Linked DNA regions of Danio rerio. Each later gene encodes a partner of the first gene's protein in a complex. Links are inferred from orthologs where the notes say so. Each region holds a gene or a part of one and is shown on either strand. Other genes may lie near its edges.

Region 1 (11,562 bases):
CTTGACCTTTATTCCCCCATGTCCAAAAATTAACAAACCATTGTTACACTGAAAAAAGAGTTGCATGCAGAACTGTTGCAAACAATTTATTTGTGTTGAATTTAAACAAACAAATTAAATTGAACAATGTTCAACTTAATTTGCTTGTTTAAATTCAACCCAAATAAATTGTTTACAACCCCTTAACGTTAAAAAAAATCGAGTAAATTCAAGGAATTATCTTTGAATAATTTTTTTCAGTGCATTTTGATGATCTTATGCATGCCTTTATGGATGTATTTTCAACAGTTTCTTCCTAATATCTTATCTAGAATAATATGTTTCTAATACAACCCGTGATTCCCCCTCTTTTTTCATATATATTTTAATCCTCTTTTTAATTTTGTATGTTTTTTTTTATTGGTGCTTGTTTATTTAAATTAAAGACAAAGATGTAAATATGATTGTGATGTGTTATATTGTCACATTTTTGTTATGTGGTTGAAAAAAAAAACAAAAAAAAAAACATGAACAATACTTTTTTGCATTTATTAATCGTCATTTAACATTTCTCAATGCATTATTCATCTTCAAAGTTGTGCTACTTTATTTACTTTACATTCATAAATAACTATCATTAATAAAGATGAATAAACACTGTAATAATTGTATTGTTATTTATTATTTTAATATATGTAATATATTATTGTTGTTTTATCTCGTCTCTAAACTAACATTAACTAATGCAACTTAAGTGTTACCATTTACACTGACAAAAATTATTCATTGGATTTACTTTATTTATTTGTAAGGTAGTTGGTTGCAAACAATTTATATGAGTTGAATTTAAATAAAGTTATGAAATTTAGTAATGTTCAACTTAATATGTTTGTTTAAATTCAGCCCAAATTAATTGTTTGCAACCACCTACCTTAAAAAATGTAATTCAGTGTTGTCTAATAACTAAAGACTGATTACAGTTTGATCAAATGTCCTGACAGAAATAAATGACTGAAATGCAGCTGCTTTACATTCTGCTTCCTTGTCTCCAATAATGAGCGCTTATAATGTGACTTGAGCGACCAGACAACATCCTCTGGCCCTTTTTTGCTGGCCAAAAAGCCACCTCAAACTCAGACGCTAATGCTAGACCTCAGGGCTTCGAGCGTCTGCATGAAAGAGAAGAGAGTTTGAGCAAACGCGATGAATTCAACCGCAGAAAGATTCCATGAAGAAGAAAGCAGATTGGCTGAGAAAGAGCAGGTCAGTGTTATTGTAACACGACTGATGTTTGTTATGGAAACTGTGGTCACAGACTTGTGAGCAAAGCAGCAGAAATCGCTAAAAGCAACAAAGCAGCAGAACGCCTAATTAAAATGAATGAGCGCAACTGGTCAGATGTGTAGGTTTACTGTATATTACAGTACGTGATTTGGGGATTTTCTGCTGAGATATTGTAAGATGTGCTTCACTGAGGCAAAATAATACCATTTTATTGAGTGCTATTATTTAGATTTAGTTATCAAATGAAAATATGCTAGTCAATATGGACACATAAGAACTTTTATAGACAATATTGAACATTTCTTCTAAAATTTAACCTTTGATTCTTAATTTTAAGTGTTTGAATAGGTTATTTTCATTGCATTTTAAATGAAATAACAGCATATAAACATAGGAAACTAATGCTAATTTCATAATATATATATATATTTATCATTTAGAGGTTTTTGCATCTGTTCTCTTCATACATTTATTTATTGTTTTTTAAATGTGTCATATAAATAAAACTGAAACGAATATTCATAATATAATATATAAAAACGAAATAATAAAAAAAAACATTTTTTTTTCTGTCTAACACAAAAGAAGATTTACATTTAGAAAAATGTTGAAAACCGGAAACCATTGACTTCCATAGTGTGAAAAATAAATACTATAGAAGTCAATGGTTACCAGATTGCAACATTCTTCAAAATATCTTCTTTCGTTTTTGACAAAAAAAAAACCCATAAAACTACAGTAATTGAAAACACTTAATGGTGTAAACATTAAGTAAATAAAATTTTTCTGTGAACTTTCTCTTCAGTTTTAGTTAATGTACTAACGTGAACAATACATTTAAAGGTTTTTGCATCTGTTATTATATATTTATTTATTTATTGTTTTTTGTGTGTGTTTTAAATCATGTCATATAAATAAAACTGAAATTGAAATGAATATTGAAATAATTTCATTTAAAAAAAACGAAATAATGTTGAAATGGTTAAGACAAACGTTGTCCATAGACAAAATTTCATTCATACACCGTAAACAATACTGATTGCCTTCATTTTTTTTCATTTGTCATTTGAACTTAAATTATATTAAACAGACTTAGAAAATCAAGTTAGAACACGATTAACGTAGTTTAATAAGTTACAATTAACTAAAAACATGTTGTCATGACTTATTGAGTATATACATATTTTCACAGTGTAGTTTTAATTCAAATGATTACATCATAATTTAAAACAAATTGATTTAGAAGAATTTTCGCTATGAGGCACTTTAACATTAATTAATTAGCATTGACCAACACAGAGCGACACAATATTTGGAAATCTTTAATCATTGTTTTCTTGTTAGTTCATGTTAGCCAAGTTCAGTTTAATAACAAACGGTAACACTTTATAATATCTACACACTATAAATCATTTATTAAGCATTAGCAAATAGTGAATTCATTATTCATTAAGCATTAACTCTACATTAATAAACGTTAGTAAGCAGTTTATAACTGCAGCTACAAATGCTCTATTCTTGACTTATAACCACATTTAAAATGTGCTTAATAATTGTATTTTCATACTTAGTAAATGATTAATTTTTCATTAATAAATTAAGTATCGCATTATTTACAAACCAGTTGTATTTAAGAGTAGTTGAGGGTTTTTAGGATCATTCAGAATGAGTTAGTAAATGATTAATAAACTATTGAAATCAACATTTATGTCTTATTATTCAGGCATATACTAATAGTCAACTAATAGGTTAATAAATGCTTTATTAACTCACCTTCATGCAGTTTTGTGACCTAATCTAAAGTGAGGACTGTTTATGCTTTATAAATGCCTTATAACTGACAAATAAAGGCTCAAAATCAAATGAACGATAATCTGTGCAAACTTTTCTAAAATGTAAAATTACTGTAAAGTTTAAACATTGCTGAATAACAGGAGTGTCAAAATACAACAAAACTGGATAAAACAACAATATAAAAATTAAACAATGTAATAAAATGTAATGTTTAAACTCAACAGTGATTTTATTTTAGATCAGGTTGCAAAGATTTATTTTTTATTTGAAGTACAGTTTCATTTGTGTATCTTTAATTGAATAGGAATGAATAATGTCGTTTTTCCTGTTTAGAATTTAACTGAGCCTTTGTTTGTCATTTATAAGGGATATATAAAGCATGAATAGTCCTCACTTTAGATTATGTCACAAAACTAGGTGAAGTTGAGTTAATAAAGCATTTATTAATATACATAGTAACCATTAATATATGCCTGAATAATAAGACACATAAACATTAAAATTAATAGTTTATTAATCATTTACTAACTCATTCTGAATGATCCTAAAAACTCTTAACTACTCTTAAATACAACTGGTTTGTAAATAATGCGATACTTAATTTAGTAATGAAAAATTAATCATTTACTAAGTATGAAAATACAATTATTAAGCACATTTTATATGGTTATAAGTCAAGAATAGAGCATTTGTAGCTGCAGTTATAAACTGCTTACTAACGTTTATTAATGTAGAGTTAATGCTTAACGGATAATGAATTCACTATTTGCTAATAAATGATTTATAGTGTGTAGTTATTATAAAGTGTGACCAATGTGTTTAGTATAAATTATATAATTTAGTTATTTTAAATTATACTTTAAATTAAATTGATAACAATAGGAGTACATTTTCGGTAAGTTTCAAATAAAAACTTTTAAATTCTTACAAAACGTAAAGATTAAACTACACAGTCAAAAATTCTGACTCAGATATTTAATCATTTATAAATTGCTTGTGAATTATTCAAATGACATGTGACTTTAAAACTAATATGGCTTTCTTCTTTAAAAGAGTTGCGAAACAGCGACAACAGAGAAACATCTGAAATATTTCTACAGCTTTCTTTTTCCACTACCCTCAAAGCTACAGAAGTAATGACAGATCGATGCCACAACAAAGTGCTCTTATTATACTGATCATTTAAAACACGTCGCAACTTTTATCTATTATTTGCTTACTGCCACATCAAAATGGTAAGTATTCTAATAATAATAATAACCACAATTGACGTGAGGATCATTTCAAATGGAATAATCAAACCATGCTCATGAAATATTTCAAGAGCCAATCATGTGAAATGCAATAATATAATAATTTTCTTCAGCTTTTTCAGTCATTTAGGGCTTAAAAATTGTTCAGTTAAGGTCATACTCCAGCACAACATTATACACACATTACACATTCATAAAGCACACATTTCATAGAAAATCAGGCAGATTCATGTGTTTAAATGTCTTAGTTTTGGCCAATGACATTATTTTTTTTTAAATATTTTTCATTTAGTTTCATAATTTGCTATAGAAATTAGTTCAGCTTAGTTTAGCACATAATACACATTTTACATTAATAAAACTACATTTTTATATACAATCAGACAGATTCTTCCTGTATAAAGTGTTTAAATGTCCTCAGTTTTGGCCAATAACATTATTTTAAAAATCTTTTTCAGTCATTCAAGTTCATAATTTGCTTTAGAAAATTAGTTCAGCTTAACATCATACTTTAGCACAACATTATACATTCATAAAACACTTTTTGTAGAGAATCAGACAGATTCTTACAGTATAAAGTGTTTAAATGTCCTAAGTTTCGACCACTAACATTATTATTATTTATATTATTATTATTTTCTTTGTTTACTTTTTAAGTCATTTAGGCTTCATAATTTGCTTTAGAAATTTGTTCAGTTTAACCTCATACTGCAGCACAACATTATACACACATTTCACATTCATAAAAGACATATTTCATAGAAAATCAGACAGATTCTCACTGTATTTTGTGTTTAAATATCCTCAATTTTGACCAACAACATTATTATTTTTATTATTTTGACATTTAAATTAATAATTTGCTTTACAAATTAGTTCAGCTTAACATCATACTTTAGCACAACATTATACACACATTATATATTCATAAAACATCCTTTTTGAAGGGAATAAGACTGTATAAAACTGTATACTGTATAAAGTGTTTAGGTGTCCTCAGTTTCAGCCAAAAACTTTATTATCATATTATTATTATTATTTATATTAGCATTTTGAGTCATTTAGGCCTCATAATTTGCTTTAGAAATTAGTTCAGTTTAACCTCATACTGCAGCACAACATTATACACACATTACACATTCATAAAACACATATTTCATAGAAAATCAGACAGATTCTCACTGTATTTTGTGTTTAAATATCCTCAATTTTGGCCAACAACATAATTTCTTATATATTTTGTGATCATTTAGTTTAGCTTAACATCATATTTTAGCACAACAATATACATTCATAAAACATTCTTTTTTGTAAAGAATCAGATTCTTACTGTAAAGTGTTTAAGTGTCCTCAGTTTCAGCCATTAACATTATTAATATTATTATTATTATTATTATTATTATTATTATTATTATTATTATTAGCTTTTTGAGTCATACAGGCCTCATAATTTGCTTTAGAAATTTGTTCAGTTATAGCCATACTCCAGAACAAGATTTTACACACACACATTACACATTCATAAAACACACATTTCTTAAAGAACCAGACACATTCATTCCACATGAAGTGTTTAAGTGTCCTCAGTTTCAGCCAATATCATTATTTTTTTTTTTTAGCTTTTTCAGTCATTCAGGTTCCTAATTTGCTTTAGAAATTAGTTCAGTTTAACATCATACACCAGCAGAACATTACACATTTATAAAACAAATCATTCATATAGGATCAGACACATTATGACTATATGAAGTGTCCACAGTTTCAGCCAATAAGATTGATATTATTATTATTATTATGAGCTTTTTCAGTCATTTAGGCCTCATAATTTGCTTTAGAAATATATTCAATTTAACATCATACTCCAGCACAACATTCATAAAACAAATCATTCATAGAGAACCAGACCCATTCTTACCGTATTAACTGTTTAAGTGCCCTCAGTTTGGCCAGTGGCTGTATACCATGTTCAACTGTCTGTAACTGAACAGGATGTGGAGCCTCTTTAAACTCAGTGGATAGTTCAAAAGAAGCTGCCAGTTCAGGAGTTCTCGCTCGCAGACTGAACGCTGAAACTGTAAGCACACACTGATGCCAGAAGCGCAAGATTTTTCGCCTTTTCTCTTGCCTTTTTTGTACTGACACAAACCTTTTCTTTAGTACTTCAGTAAGAGCGGCTATTTGCAGACTTCCTCATTTTAAGAAACTTGCCTACTTCCTTCACCATTTTTTTGTCCTATCTTTAACTTCCTCTTCTATCTCAGAACATAAATATATAATATGCAATACATGAATAGTCATGCAGTCAGTGAGGCCTAATGTACTGTACATTTTCTTATATTATTAATTAAATTAATCAATCATCATAGTATGTACACTCTTTAAAAAGTGATTACTTGCAATGACTATCAATTAGTAGTTGACTTTACTTTAAGAAAAGTGGGTAGGTCACACTTTACAATAAGGTTCATTAGTTAATGTTAATTAATGCATTTACTAACATGAACAAACAATGAACAATACATTTACTACTGTATTTGTTATTATTAGTTAGCGTTAATTAATGAAAATACAGTAGTTCATTGTTAGTTCATGTTAACTCATGGTGCATTAACTAATGTTAACAAGCAGGGAGTTGGATGTTAATAATGCATTAGTAAATGTTCAGTTATGATTAATAAATGCTGTACATGTGTTGTTCATGATTAGTTCATGTTAGTAAGTGCATTAACTAATGAACCTTATTATAAATTGTTACCAGTGAGTACAATTGATTTGTCTTAGAATTATTAAGTAAATTTACGGCGTGCATGAGTGAAAAAGTAAGGTCAACTTGAGAGTTCCACGTTACAAAAGGATTTACTCACATATTTAGGTAAAATCAATGAATTGCTTTTAACAGAAAGTGCTGGGTTGCTTTAACTAAATTATAGGTGGAATATGGACAAACAATTTAACCCAACAGTTGAGTTTGTCAACATTAAAAAAAAATGAGCTGCTTGTTGATTTATGTTCAATCCACTTAAAAAAAAAAAATATTATCGCTTTTGTGTTGGGAGAACATGAATGATTTGTGTTGAGTTTTACTGTGATATTTCACCCAAAACTTGTTTGTTTGTTTTTTTAGATTGTTTGATTAAAATAATACTGAATACTTGAAAATGATTTTGCTTGTTCAAACTACTAAATGAGCTGTATCAACACAATTCTAGACTTTTTGTAACAACTTAAGTGTTTCATGTTCAATCCACTTGAATTTGTAAAAATAATTACGTTAACTAAATCGATTTGTGTTAGGATGACATGAAGGAATTGTGGAATTGTGTAGTGAATATTTAACTTTTTGCTCATTCCTTCACATCACTTTTGTGCCAAGATGTACATTTGGCACATATTTTAAAAAAGTTTATTCAATATGTACGATTTTTCTGAAATCAAATCTCTCCTTAAAGCATAGTTGAAGTCAGAATTGTTATCCCCCCTTTGAATTTTTTTTCTTTAAAATATTTCCCAAATTTTTATAGTTTAAATGTTTCCCAAATGATGTTTAAAAGAGCAAGGACATTTTCACAGTATGTCTGATAATATTGTTTCTTCTTGAGAAAGTCCTATTTTTTTATTTAGGCTAGAATGAAAGCAGTTTTTAATTTTTAAAAAACATTTTAAGGTCAAAATTATTAGCCCCTTTAAGCTATTTTTTTTTCCGATAGTCTACAGAACAAACCATCATTATGCAATAACTTGTTTAATTACCCTAACCTTAACCTTATTAACCTAGCTAAGCATTTAAAATGTCACTTTAAGCTTTATAAAAGTGTCTTGAAAAATATCTAGTTAAATATTATTTACTGTCATCATGGCAAAGATAAAATAAATCAGTTATTAGAATTGAGTTAAGTGTAGAAATGTGTTGAAAAAAAACTTCTGTCCATTAAACAGAAATTGGGGGAAAAATAAACAGGGGGGGCGAATAATTCGGACCTCAACTGAACATCATTTTTATTGATTTTATTTATTTATTATTTATATTTTGATCTTTATTATTATTGTTATTATTCTACTATTTTTATTGATTTTCTTTATTATTATTGTTATTGTAAATATTGTATGTCTTCAGCACCAGAAAGGCGCTTTATAAAATAAACATTACTGTTAACATTATATACAATAAACATTATTATTAGTATTACTATTGTTCACCCAGGGATGGGTAGGCATCCGCTCCATAAAACCTATCCTGGATAAGTTGGCGGTTCATTCTGCTGTGGCGACCCCAGATTAATAAAGGGACTAAGCCAAAAAGAAAATGAATTATTTATTGTTGTGATTGCCAGCAGTGTTTTCTCTGCTGGAGTTCACTTCCTACATTCCTGCCGAACTACAAATCCCAAAAGTCATTGCATCAATCACTCCTGCCCAGTGGTGAAAAGAGTACTGAAAGATCATACTTAAGTGCAAGTACTATTACTAAATCAAAATATCAATGTTGAATTGATCCAATATCATGCAGCCCCATACTGTCAAAGCATTCAAAAATAGTAAACACTTAAAGATACTCCATGAACCAAACTGTATGTTCACTAGTGGAAAGTGTGTGATCAGGAAAAACAGATGTGTGATGCGGTTCATTGAGCTGTGATGGACACAGTTTACTGTACTTCTGTAATGAGTCTTCAGTGCATCTGTCTGCGTGATGGAGTAGTATATCTTCTGTTTACACTGAGGCATGTTTCATAAACAGAGAGAACCGCGGCACACCTGCAAGAGCAATCATCAGAGGATTTCACAACCCAGTGACATTTCCACTCTGAATGGTGGATTGCAGGTTAAAGAGACGGTTCACTCAAGAATGAACATGTGCTCACTATTTTCTCACCCTCAAGGGGTTGCAAATCTGAGCTTCTTTCTTCTGTTGAACACAATAGAAGATATTTTGAAGAATGGTGGAAACCGGTAACCATTGGCTGTTAGTGAATACCGTTACTGAAGTGAGTCTCCAACATTCTTCAAAATATCTTCTTTTGTGTTCAACAGAAAAAAGAAACTCAGTCAGGTTTGGAACAAGTAGAGTTGACAGAATTTTCATTTTGGGGTAAACTATTATGGGTATTATAGGATTAAGTGATGGGTAAGTTACTTTAAAAAATATCTTTACTGATAAAATATATTTAATATATATTTATAATATATATTTAATTATATATTTAATATATATTTAAAAATATATTTAATGATAATTAAAATTGTATTTAAATGAATTTTCTAATTACTTTTTGACTGAAAAGTAACTTGATTACTCAATAAGTAATTTCAGCATGACATTTTAGTGTTTAACAGTGAAAGAGAGTCATTTGTAGACCAAGTATGTTACATATTTAATATCTGACAACATTGAGAATTCGGTCTGCCTCAACTGTTCAGCATATCAGCACTCATGGGCTTCAAAATGACTGGCCAATCAAATCAAAGAGGGTGGAGTCTCAGTTTATCTAGCAATGCTCAGTTTTTAACAGTGAAATAGTGTCAGGTATAAGATGTAAGCAGTATTGCAATGTTTATTATTTCACAACAAAGGAAATTTAGTTTGCCTCAATTGTATTACAGCATTTATGACAAACCAAATAAATAAATGAAAGAATGAACAACTGAATGAATTAATAAAAAAATATGAAAATTTAATGACAGCAAACATGAATTTCAGATAGCAAATATGATTTTTATGCAGTGCTTCAGTTTTTGTCACAAGTTAAGCAGGCCACACATAGCCGGAAACTTGGTAATAACTAATTATAGACATTGTAATTATTATTGTTATGTAACATATAATAAATGTATAAAAGGAAAAGGTTTAATGCAAAATACTGGACTTTTTTCCTCTTTATTGAAATATTTTATGAAATATTAACAAAATGTTTGTATTTTTAACATTGTATTTGGAGATTATTCTATATTTTAAATTTATTATTATTTTTTTTTTAAATAAAAGTAGGTATAATTTTGGGTCAGTTTTCTTTTCTTTTTTTAAAGTAAATTATTTTGTTTACCACAGCGGCATTTATTAAATGTAATTTTTTTTTTATATTTATTAAAATTTTAATTAACTGCTTTCTTATTTTATGTAGTTTCAAATTAAAATTATTACCACAGTCATTATTGCTTTTATTATTCTCACCATTATTAAAGTTTTTTTCTGAAGGATCATGTGACTGAAGACTGGAGTAGTGAAGCTGAAAATTAATTTTTAAAATCACTGGAATAAATGTTTAAATTAAATTATAAACTACGTTTGAACAGTTAATTTATAGTGCAATATAATTGCAGATAAATGCAACCTTGAGCAGGATAATCTTATTTTAAAACATTTAAAATCCTATTGACCCCAACCTAAATATAGTTGAAGTCAGAATTATTAGCCCACATTTTAATTTACTTTTTTTTTTTAACAGAGCAAGGAAAGTTTCACAGTATGTCTGATAATATTTTTTCTACTGGAGAAAGTTTTATTTGTTTTATTTCGTCTAGAATAAAAGCAGTTTTAAGGTCAATATTATTAGCTCCTTCAAGCTATAATGTTTTCGATAGTCTACAGAACAAACCATCATTATACAATAACTTGCCTAATTACCCTAACCTGCCTAGTTACCCTAATTAATTTTTTTTATATTTATTATAATATTTTAATATTTTAATACACCCCCCACTCTCCTCTAACTTAAACTCCTCACAATCACTGCACTGTTTAACATTTGCACATTTAAAATTTGCACATTGCACAATGCACATTGCACCACATTGCACTGATTTACTTATTTGAACTGTACATACCCACTGCACATGGACATTTGTAATTATATACACACCCACTGCACATATACATTTGTAATCATGTTTATTTATCTGCACACTTCTGATTATTAATAGCAACCTGTACATTCTGCACATAGCAATACATACATATTCATTGTAAATCTCTGTTCATAGTACAACCTGTATATAATATTGATAGTACATCCATCTGTAAATATCACCATCGTTTTTCATGCACTTTATAACTTACCTGTATCCTGCACTTTCTGCTATTGCACTGCTGGTTAGACCTAACCTGCATTTCGTTGCTTTGTACTTGTACATGTGTAATGACAATAAAGTTGAATCTAATCTAATCTAATTAACCTAGTTAACGCCTTTAAAATGTCACTTTAAGCTGTATAGAAGTGTCTTGAAAAATATCTAGTAAAATATTATGTACTGTCAT
Region 2 (11,594 bases), on another chromosome or scaffold:
AATTTACCTGCAGGTTAACAATGAACCATTGTGTGTTCTTATGCTTATGGTTCACACTTTTCAAAGCTGAACCTGACTCAACATCCTTATTTGGTATATTCATGGTGTCAGTGTTTGCATAAAGGCTCAACGCTGCAGATCCTCATTTGATATATTACAGACTATATTAGGCTGCTTTCCTGAATGGACATTTTGGCTAAAAAAAAAAGGCTCTGATTGATGCTTTTTATAATTGACATTTTCCAGCTCCAACGCTGCAAGGATTGATGATTGAAAAAAATTGATGATTGTTTGTTGATTGCTATGCATCTCATAACATTGTCATAATCAGTGTTGGGGGGATACATTACAACTAAAGCGAGTTACGTGCAGTTGTAATCAGAATTATTAGCCCTCTTGAATTATTAGCCCGCCTGTTTATTTTTTCTCTGATTTCTGTTGAACGGAGAGATTTTTTTCAACACATTTCTAAACATAATAGATTTAATAAATAATTTCTAATAACTGATTTATTTTATCTTTGCCATGATGACAGTAAATAATATCTAGATGTTTTTCAAGACACTTCTATACAGCTTTAAGTGACATTTAAAGGCTAAACGAGGTTAATTAGGGTAACTAGGCAGGTTAGGATAATTTGGCAAGTTATTGTATAACGATGGTTTGATCTGTAGACTATGAAAAAAATATAGCTTAAAGGGGCTAATAATTTTGACCTTAAAATGTTTTTTTTTTTTAATGAAAACTGCTTTTATTCTAGCCGAAATAAAACAAATAAGACTTTCTCCAGAAGAGAAAATTATCAGACATACTGTGAAAATTTCCTTGCCCTGTTAAACGTAATTTGGAAAACATTTAAAAAAAGAAAAGGAAATTCAAAGGGGGTTTTATAAATTTGATTTTAACTGTACTCTCTCAGAAATAAACGTATGCACGCTGTCACTGGGATGGTCCATTTTTAAAAGGTACAAATACTTTTGTATTTCATTATTGGTACCTCTAACGTATATATTATTAGCACCTAAAAATTTTATGAGGACACTGTTGTACTTTTTAGGTACCAATATGTACCCTTGAGGTATTAATATGGACCTTTTAGGTACAAATTTGTATCTTTTGAAAAGGTACCACCCCAGTGAAAGCTTGCTTACCTTTATTTCTGAGAGTTTAATAACGTTACTTCTCTAAAGAACGAATAAAGTAATGCATCCCTTTATTAAAATTTGTAATAATATTTGAGTTACTTTTTTGAAAATGTAATGCGAGTTACTTTTTAACTTAATTAGCTTTTTAAAAATAAACTGCTGAATTATATGAAAGTAGTCACAATGAATTACGCAGTCAATGAGAAAATGTTCATTATTTTGATCGCATTGAAGAAAAGGTAAAAGGGATTGCCTCAATGGGCAGTAATTTTACTTAAGACAAATAGTACAAAAGTAGCAAACACATTGTTTTTCACTTTCAATAATCTGTATGATGGCGCAGTAGGAAGTGTTGTCGCCTCACAGCAAGAAGGTCGCTGGTTCGAGCCTTGGCTGGGTCAGTTGATATTTCTGTGTGGAGTTTGCATGTTCTCCCTGTGTTTACGTAGGTTTCCTCCGGGTGCTCCGGTTTCCCCCACAGTCCAAAGACATGTGGTATAGGTTAATTGGGTAGGCTAAATTGTCCGTAGTGTATGAGTGTGTATGGATGTTTCCCAGAGATGGGTTGCAGCTGGAAGAGCATCCGCTGCATAAAACATGTGCTGGGTAAGTTGGTGGTTCATTCCGCTGTGGTGACCCTGGATTAATAAAGGGACTTAGCCGAAAATAATATGAATGAATAATCTGTATATACGGCATGTAGAGCTCTGGGCTCAGGAAGTTCTCAGTTAATATTATCCTAAAAACTTTTTTTTTGGTGTTTTTTTAAAGGTAAATGTAGGTGTAGGTTATACAGTGCGCTGTTAATTGCAGAGCTCATATTAAAAAAGAAAGAGTGAAAAAAACAAGTTCTGTAAGAGATCATGCCTCAGCCAAGTAATCAAAAGTAATGCAAAAGTAACATATTATTCACCATAAAAAAGTAACTAAGTAACGCAACTAGTAACTTTTTTGTAGAGTAACTCAATATTGCAATGCAATACTTTCTAAACTTTCTCCAACACTGCTCATAATACTGGATTGTTTCTGTAAACATTTCATTGCTGCGTTTCATTTTTTACTTGAATCAAATAAAGTTTTCTAGTCATCTCTTCTTACCTTAATTCGGCTGATGAAAAATATTTTGACAAATAAAATTTTTAAAGTTGTAACCTGATTAACTTAATTATCTAACTTGATTAAAATAAGTTCAAGCTACATAAAAAGAAGTATTTGTCTTGACTTTTTGTCATAACGTTTTTACAGTTTAACTGCAGGAATATGCAAAGTCTGAAACCCTTCTGTGAATTGCTAATCCAAATCAAAGATTTAAAATAAAAATAAAAATTTATGATCGTATATGTTTGCAGGCTATTTTTATGTGTACTGTTATAAATATGAAAAGGATCTAATGACTGTTCTCTGGAATCTCCCAGAAATTCCCACGTCCAAAACAACCACAAGACTGTGACTCTTTCTCTGAAAAATGAGGAAGTCTAAAGAAAAGAATCTTTACAATTCACTCTTTTGTATATTTCCCCCCTAATTTATTTATGACCATTCTGTTATACCCACAAAAACGATTACTCTTTTAAATACTTATTTTAAGAGTTCCCACTTAGATATGCTTGGCATTTATAACAGGTTTGGCATGCTGTCACGGAGATATTTGAGCCCAGGGCTCCCGCCCGGTCTAGAAGCATATCAGGAGAACCGAGATCAGGTAGGTCTCGATCGCTCCCCCTTTAGAAGGGGAGAAAAAGGAGGAGATGGAGTGGAAGGGGGGATTCTTCCAAAAAGAAAATAGAGCAATAAGGAGAAAGTGATCCATTTATATTAAGCTCGGATCATTCTGATTGGATTATTACTGATTACGGATGAGTGGCCAGCAGTGCACAATCATATCACGTGCTCTTCTCGAAATTAGTTTGTGAAACTTCACTTATTGGTAATATTTTTGGACTTAATTAACTTTCATTCATTCAATTTTCTTCCGCTTAGTACCTTTATTTATCAGAGGTCGCCACAGCAGAATGAACCGCCAACTAATCCAGTATATGTTTTAAGGAGCGGATGCCCTTTTAGCCGCAACCCAGTACAGGGAAACAACCATACACTTTCACATTCACACACACACACACACACACACTCTCATACACTATGGCCAATGTAGCTTCTTCAATTCATTTATGCTGCATGTCTTTGGACTTTTGGGGAAACCCACACAAAAACGAAGAGAACATGCAAACTCCTCACAGAAATGCCGACTGACCCAGCAGGGGCTTGAGCCAGCAACCTTCTTGCTGTGGGGTGACAGTGCTAGCCACCGTGTTGCCTACTTAAGTATGCCTAAAAATGAGGATTTAGCCTTTCTGCAAAGACAACAAAACATTGTCAAAACATTGTATCACCTGTTCACTGACATACTCTTAAAATCTGATCATTAAAGACATATCATCAGTTCTTTTTATTTTGGATTTTGAGACTCGTGACCTCAAGTGGGCCCGGATAAGCGAAAGAACATGACTTTCTGAGACTGATGCGTTTGACTACAGATAACAATCTTTAGGAGGTTCACATGCAGTAAGACAAAGGTCAAGAATTTACAAACCAAGCTTCAGAAAGTCAATAATATCCCGAACCTTTGTTTATATGTCTTGTAAACAGGACTTTGCTTTAGTCGTGTCACTTCTGCATCACTTAATCACACAGTAAAAAGATCAACATCCTTTTCAGTCAAATAAGTATTATTAGCAGAATCAGACAATTGTTTTTGCTTTTTTCTACCTATGTGTGGTTATCAGATACTGGCTTTAGCAGTCACATCCTGTGCTGTGAGCCTTTTAACCACATTAACACCCAGGTCCCACTTAGTCTTTATACATTTCCCGCACATTGCCAAGTGAAAGTACATCAAGAAGGACATTCGAAAATGCAACTGTGACATTAAAAAAAAACCTCAGTTTTATCTTTGAATGTCTTATAATTAAAGCCTAAAAACATTCTAACTCTGACTGGATAAAATACAAACTATTTAAAGGAAAAACTAAAGTGTGTGCGTCCGTATGTGTGTGATAGCAAATACAAGCACATGTAGCTCCTCCTCAGAAACCTTTGCTTCTATTTTGATGGATGGCGATAAGTCATCAGCTCACACTTGGTGATTTTTCACACAGAGACAATTTCCATATCATTGGTTGTGATATTCAAGGTGTTTCAGCTCGTGGCCAGAAAGGCTTCTTGTATTCGAGTCAGGGCTGTGTAAACCCTGAGCAATCTTTCCTAAACCTGTCTGCACTCATTATGAGAAGGATACTGTTTATAATGTTCCCCGTCAACGGACTGTTTGGTGAGTCCATTTTGAGAATTTTTATAAACTGTACGGGTTTAGGTTTTTAAACAGTTAAAAACTGGCTTTTGGCATCATTTTCTCTCAAAAAACAAACTAGATGTTGATTTAATAGTTGTTTAGAACATAAAACCAGACTTTTTGTTGAGTATAGACTGCAAAATTGTAGGGTTTTAATTTTAAATTTGCTTTTTTATATCTATATAAAGCTTTTATACAAACAAATAATAATGTTATAAAAAAAACATTTTAAAGAATTAATACGATGGTTTACACAAACACGAAATCTCTGTCATTTACACATCCTTTTTGAGTATCTTTTTTTCAGTTGAATACAAAATAAGATATTTTGAAAGATGTTGGAAACCGGTGATTATTGACTTTCATGGTATATGTTGTTCCTGCTATGGATGTCAACAGTTATCCGTTTCTAACACTCTTTAAAAGAATCTGTTCAAGTTCAACTGAGAAAAAAAAACTCATAAAGGTTTGGAAACACTAGGGTAAAATACTGTTTTCTTTTTTTTTTTTAGGTAAGCTATGCCTTTAAGTGTCAACTTATTTCTTCTTTTTGAAATGAGCTTTGCCTTTATTTTTGAAGGCAGCCATATCAAGTTACTGTCTTGCATTTCATGTGCCTTTGTGAACACGATTGTTTGTTAGGTTAAACAAGTTTTGGATGTTAAACTCAAGTTTCTACATTTTCAGAAATGAAATTTTCAGTTCTCTTGACTAAGTGTTGAAACAAACATTACAAGTTGAGTCTTCCACTCACATTTAGTTCAGTAACTCATGTTGAAGGCAGAAGATGAACTTTCGTTTCTGGATTTAACCACATAAAACATTTTACCATTTTGTAGAAAAAACAAAATATGACTGAACTATATTGAGTATATTTTGCACACTTTCACAAAATTAGGTTTATATATAGAGATTATTGCAAAAAACTGCACATAATGTATATATGTGTGTGTTTGTCTGTTTATCTATTGACAGATCGAGATTTTACAACTAAATATTCTAGTCTAATATTTAAATATTATATTTTGTTGTGAAATTTTTGCAGAGTGTACATTTTTCCAACACCTCATTTCAATCTAATGTATTATTTTTCTTATTCTAAAGAATCTTATTCTTATATGACCACACTCTCATGTTAACACTTTAGAATAACTAGTTGTTATAACTAGTTAATAGTCCATTAATAAATTGTTAGTTAATAAGTTATAAATGACTTGTTAAATAAAAGTTAATAGTTTGTTATTTTTTTTATAACTGTGCCTTATATATAGTTAATAGATAACTTACAAGCTGTTAGTTAACAAGTTATAAATGACTTGTTAAGTGTAATTTAATGATTTATAACTATACCTAATAAATTAGTAATAGACCATGAACAAGCTGTTTGTAAAGACTTTCTAAGTATCAGTTAAATGTTTATATATGTTATTACATGTAAAGTTGCAACTATTCTTCATTTATTAACTGTTAGTAAATGAGGAATAGTTGCAACTTTAGAATCACGTCCCAATAACATACATAAGCCAATAGCAGGGTGTTTTCACACGTCTAGTTTGGAAAAGGTCTGGAAAGTGGGTGTGTCTAGCTCTGTTTGGGTGGGCGTGTCGGGGGAGGTAAAATGGGAAGGATTTGACTGAAAATGGGAGTTCCCATTTGGGCACGCGCTGATTTTCACACGCAGATGCAGGGGAGATCTATTACTAATTTATTAGGTATAGTTATTTTTAACTTGTTATTTATAGTCATTTATAACTTGTTAACTAACAGCTGGTAAGTTATCTGTTTCTATCTATAAGGCACAGTTATAAATAATTAACAAACTATTAACTTTTATTTAACAAGTCATTTATAACTCATTAACTAACAGCTTTTAATAATCTATTATAACAGATTCTAAAGTGTTACCAGTTAATGAATATTGAAATGTTTACTAATACTGTTTTGTAAAAAAAACATCTTAAAAAAAAACTTATCTGAATTTTAAATGGATAGTTCTTCCCAAAAACTGAACATTTCCTCACCTTTACTCAAACTCAAATTGTTCTAAGCTAAAAATCATCACATGACTATAGGTACAATCCCTAAACCTATAGGTACAATCCCTTAACCAATCCCTAAACAATCGCCCTGAACCTAACATCATCAGTGCAGTTATCGTGTCACATTCTGTGCAACCACTATTAATAATATTATAAAATAAAACTAATCCTAAAAAACAGCAGTTTCAAAGGTAAAAAATTGCAAATCTATGTTTTATTTGTGGATTTTACGTAGATAAGTTGTTATTACTGCAAGTAATCAAAGAAATTGCATTTTATTTCTGTAGATCAACATCAAAAATCAAACTGTTTTAACATTTTCTCTTTCATTTTCTCTTTGATCAGCAGGCTTTGTAGAGGCAAATCAAGGTAACAACTTTTCCATACATCTTTGATACTCAGTTGATAAATATTTATTTTTTGTTTGTTTGGTAGTTTTTTTTAATGCATATTATATGCTAATGCATTTTCTGCTTTTCAGACTGCAGTTCCTGTTACCAGATGGACATTGGAGTGGCTGTGGGGATCATCACGTGTGATATTATTGTCACGCTCCTCATTGCTCTCTCCGTCTACTGTTTTGTTTCTCGCCAGAAAAAGAGAGGGAGTTTACATGCACACGGCAGATGCTGTAGCTCAGGTAAGCCTGATTGTAGGAAAATATTTAAAAAAAACAGTCACTATGAGTTTCAGAGTTTCAGTCTTAATCATATGTTTTTCTGATGTTTAAGGCAAAGCAAAGCTTCAGCAGACATCTATGAGGGCAAAACCAATTGAAGTAGAATCACCTTACCAGGTAAAATGAGCAAAATATGTACACAAAAAATATGTTTGCTATTTGTTCAAACTACTTATTTAAAATAAGCTAAAGCAACACAATTTATGAGTTTTATAGGGGGAATCTTAATTGTTTTATGCTTAATTTACTTAAATTGGTAAAAACTCATAAGTTAACTTAATTCCGTCATGTCGATTGTGTGGAACCCAACATTGTTTGCAGTGTATTTAATGCAATGCAATATACGTGAGATCAGTTTTGTTGAAGTTCACAAACTAAGGCAAGACATTGCTTACCAAAACTATTTGTCATGGACCAGTGAGTATGGAGATTTTTGACTTTTCTTAAAATGTATTTTTGTTCAGTTTAATGTTAAGAAAACTTCCAAAATACATTTTAAAGTGTTTCTTTTGTCGCACTTTATTAGTGTTTATCCATACATTTTAATTACAATGCATATTTTAAAAGCATTTTATTATTACACACATCAAGTGACACAATTTTACAGAGGTATTTGTTCATTCGTTTATTTAAAAATAAATAAATATAAAAAAAATAAATAACCTATATGATAAAGTGAGAGTGTCTTAATAATATAGCGGAAAGTAGTATGAGGTAAATGTTACTCAAAGTGACAGATGCAGATGTATTTGTGTGAGATGTGTTTAAGTAAATAATCAAGTAATTACACTATTAGTTAATTTTGTTGTACCCTATATTTACCTTGCCTTAAAAAGTCTTAATGTTTTCTTGAAGTGCTTATATGTGTACTCAATTTATTCACAATGTTTTGACAGGAGCTTTATGGAGTGCAGTCAGACATATACAGTGATCTTCAGCAGTATCGGAAATAAACAAGGTCACCTAACATTATCAATGAACGAGTTGTGTTCACACCAATATTTGGAGATTGCATAGGTTCATGACGGTTTCATATTGTGGCATACAAATATGTATTTGATATAAATAAGCTATAATAATTGAATCATGCAAAACAATTTCCATGAATCATCATGATTGGTACATATAAAAATCATCAAAATAAATGTTAATGGTTTGTGGAAAGGAAATGATCTTCAGGAACTTGAAGATTTAATTCCACATTTTATTATAGTTGTAAAAGTTTTTTTTTTTTTTTGTATCTTTATATGTCAGTTTTGTATTTATTCATAGTATATCTTTGTATTGGAAGATTCCCTTGCTCCTTATGGTAAAATAAATGTGTTTGATTTTAATTTGTGGCTTTTAAGTTTTTTCTTGTATGTGTTATGTGCTTGTCAGCATAGTGAGATAACAGAAGGATGAAACCACCTTTTATGTCCGAGGAAGTGGATGCAGTTGCAGTAGCTGACCTGAACTGCAGTCAGCTAGACAAAAGCCAAATACTTTTATTATTATTATAATTCTTTAGGCCAGAATTTCCTGAATTATTAAATTCAACACCTTCATCCTAAAATATATGGTCTGAGTAGAGTCACTGATATATTGTTCTGTATTCTAGGTAAAATAAATGAAACTGAAGAGTTCTTGACACCTCGAGCAGTTTAATTGAGCTCTTAGTTTAAGTGTGACCACTTGCAGCGTCCACAAGAGTGCACTATTATCTCATTGTGCTTTATGTCACATCCACTGTTATTTATTTAGGAATTTACTGTTTTTCTTTCAGCGCTTCTTCCTGTATTGGTGTATCATTGAACTAAAGCAGTTTCAGTGTTTGTTTGTCTTTGCATACAATGAATGTTTATTGTTGGAATACTAAGTATGATAGTGTAAATGCAAATGCTGGACAGACTGTTTACCATACACATAATTAGCCAATTTACACAGAGCCGGAACTGTCATTTCAGTTTTGTGTTGAATTTTTAAATAAATGACTGTCAGTCTACCAACTGCTTTGATTTAAAATATTTAAAGAAATAAAGAAAAAGTAAAGAAAAAGAAATTAACATTCCACTAGGAGCTTGAAATCTCTTAAAGGGATAGATCCCCTAAAACAAAAGATTTTATTTTGAGGGGATCGTTCCCAACAAAATGACAACTTATTTACTCACACTCCAATGTTCCATTCAATTCAATTCAGCTTTATTTGTACAGCGCTTTTACAATATAGATTTTGTCAAAAGGCTTCACATAAATGGTCATAGTAAATTGGAACAGTGTAGTTCAGTTTTTTAGTGTTTAAGTTCAGTTCAGTTTAGATCAGTTCAGTGTGGTTAAAAATCACTACTTAGAGTCCAAACACTGAATCGATGCAGAGCTCTACCGATCCCAAACCATGCAAGCTAGAGGCGACAGCGGAGAGAAAAAAAACTTCACTGATTGGCGAAAGTGAAGAAAAAAAAAAAAAAAAAAGTTAAAACCAGACTTAGTTGGGGGCACGACCATATTAATTTCTCCACTGGCCAAATGTCTTGTGCCAGAGCTGCAGTCTCAGCGGCGGAGGCTGGAAGCTGGCCTCAGCGAAGACTCGTCTGTCCTTGGAGCGTCACTGGAATCAGTCTCATGCTCTCCACTCCTTCATGATCACCGCAGCAGCTGCTCAGGATATGGCCTGGTCCAGGATATGGAAACCTTGGGATCATCTCGCAGCTGGTCTTGGATCTAATCAGTGACTCTGCATAGTCTGAGGTCCTCGGGAAGAGTATCCCCAGGTGGAAATAGAGAATAAAGAGAATAATTAGCATAGCTGCTCTTCATAGTGTATATAAACAAGATGCAGAAACCTGTGTGAAACCCCGTTAAGTGATGCATTGAGTGTATGCTTTACTAAACAGAAAGGTCTTTAATCTAGTTTTGAATTGGGAGAGTGTGTCTGAGCCTCGGACGTTATCAGGAAGTCTATTCCAAAGTTTAGGAGCCATAAATGAGAAGGCTCGACCTCCTTTACTCGACTTTGCTATTCTAGGTCCTACCTGAGTTTAGAGATCTTAAAGAGCGAGTTTGATTGTAGTGAGACAGAAGGTTGGTTAGATAAACAGGAGCTAGATTATTTAAAGATTATTTAATGTTCTAAATGTTTATTTATTTATTTCTACTTTTTAACAAAATAATCAAGATATTCTGAAGAATCTTGGGGAAAAGCAGCCATAGAATTTTAAAGGAACAAAAATACTGTTGAAGTCAATTGCTACTGCTTTCTGACAAATAAGAAAACGGTAACACTTCACAATAACAGTAGATGAATAATGCTGTGTTAATACATAAACTCAACATCACTTTATTATGAACTAATAATGGCTACCTTAATTGCTTGTACAAGCTTGCTTGTTAAATAATGTATTAATTACCATATTAGTGTATATGCCTAATTTAACTATCATGAAATTATAATATGTTAATGTATAATTATGTCATCACGACTTTACTTGGAGGGACAGATCCCCATTTATACATTCTTAACTACACATGAAGACCTTATGTATGCCCGTCTTGTGCATTTACACTGAATAACAACAGAAAAGTGTTCATTCAACATCAACGTTAACAGTTTAAACACAGTAGTTCACGAGTAGCTAATGGTGACGTGCCCCTCCAAGTAAAGTCATGACATAATTATACATTAATTGCTCATGAGTTCATGTTGATTACAATTAGCTTAAATGTAAATGTTAATTAATAAATTGTTAACAACATGTACTAGCAATTAGGGTAACTGTTATTTACCTGTGAATCATGTTGTAGTTAAAGTTAGTTCATGATTAGTGAGCGCCATAACTCATCAGTAATTCAGTAATACAGTAAAATTTAGTTGACATATTAAAACATCATCATTATTATTATAGTGTGTTACCAAGAAAAAAAGAAAGAAAAAGAAAAACTCAAACCGGTTTGGAAAAAGGTGAAGGATGACTAAAAAATGACAGAATTTTATTTTTGAGTCTTTAACTCATTCTCACTCACTCACTCATTCTCAAGCCATTTAAACGGTGGATGGAACTTTTTTTTTAATGTGTATAAACTGGAAGTTGCTGAGAATTTAATTTCAACATGTTGATCTGTTTCCAGTTGGAATTGAATACTAAGTAGGTTGTGTGGATTTTATTTATTTTTTTACCAAAATAAACGTCTACTTATTTATTTATTTATTCATTTATTCATTCATTCATTCATTTTCTTTTCTGTTTAGTGCCTTTATTAATCTGGGGTTGCCACATTTATTTATTTACATTGGATTAACTGGATTAATTAATAGTCCTTGGTGATTCATATAATGGAATTCAACCAAAACCTTGAGTCAAACGGCCTTAAACTGACACAAAGGTTGCGTCTGAAATTGCATACTT

Evidence for each region.
Region 2: the proteins of syk (region 1) and tyrobp are in contact, whole or in part, in a crystal structure (PDB 7Q5W), measured with the Homo sapiens proteins. The link is inferred for Danio rerio from reciprocal best matches to the Homo sapiens genes SYK and TYROBP. Residues at the interface, in NP_001167638.1 of Homo sapiens: Arg22, Arg42, Asn46, His62, His63, Tyr64, Thr65, Ile76, Ala77, Gly78, Gly79, His92, Asp97, Gly98, Leu99, Arg175, Arg195, Arg197, Lys212, Leu214, His215, Tyr216, Arg217, Ile228, Pro229, Glu230, Gly231, Lys232, His243, Lys247; in NP_003323.1 of Homo sapiens: Pro90, Tyr91, Gln92, Glu93, Leu94, Gln95, Arg98, Ser99, Asp100, Val101, Tyr102, Ser103, Asp104, Leu105, Asn106.

The regions. Positions count from the first base shown.
Region 1 is NC_133185.1:6,049,966-6,061,527, forward strand, and holds the start of syk (tyrosine-protein kinase SYK), read right to left. Parts: upstream 6,461-11,562; 5' UTR 6,226-6,460; intron 1-6,225. UniProt on the Homo sapiens protein: Non-receptor tyrosine kinase which mediates signal transduction downstream of a variety of transmembrane receptors including classical immunoreceptors like the B-cell receptor (BCR).
Region 2 is NC_133191.1:26,487,517-26,499,110, forward strand, and holds tyrobp (TYRO protein tyrosine kinase-binding protein precursor), read left to right. Parts: upstream 1-4,360; 5' UTR 4,361-4,427; coding exon 4,428-4,473; intron 4,474-6,878; coding exon of another isoform or gene 6,879-6,881; coding exon 6,882-6,902; intron 6,903-7,014; coding exon 7,015-7,173; intron 7,174-7,264; coding exon 7,265-7,329; intron 7,330-8,108; coding exon 8,109-8,165; 3' UTR 8,166-8,546; downstream 8,547-11,594. UniProt on the Homo sapiens protein: Adapter protein which non-covalently associates with activating receptors found on the surface of a variety of immune cells to mediate signaling and cell activation following ligand binding by the receptors.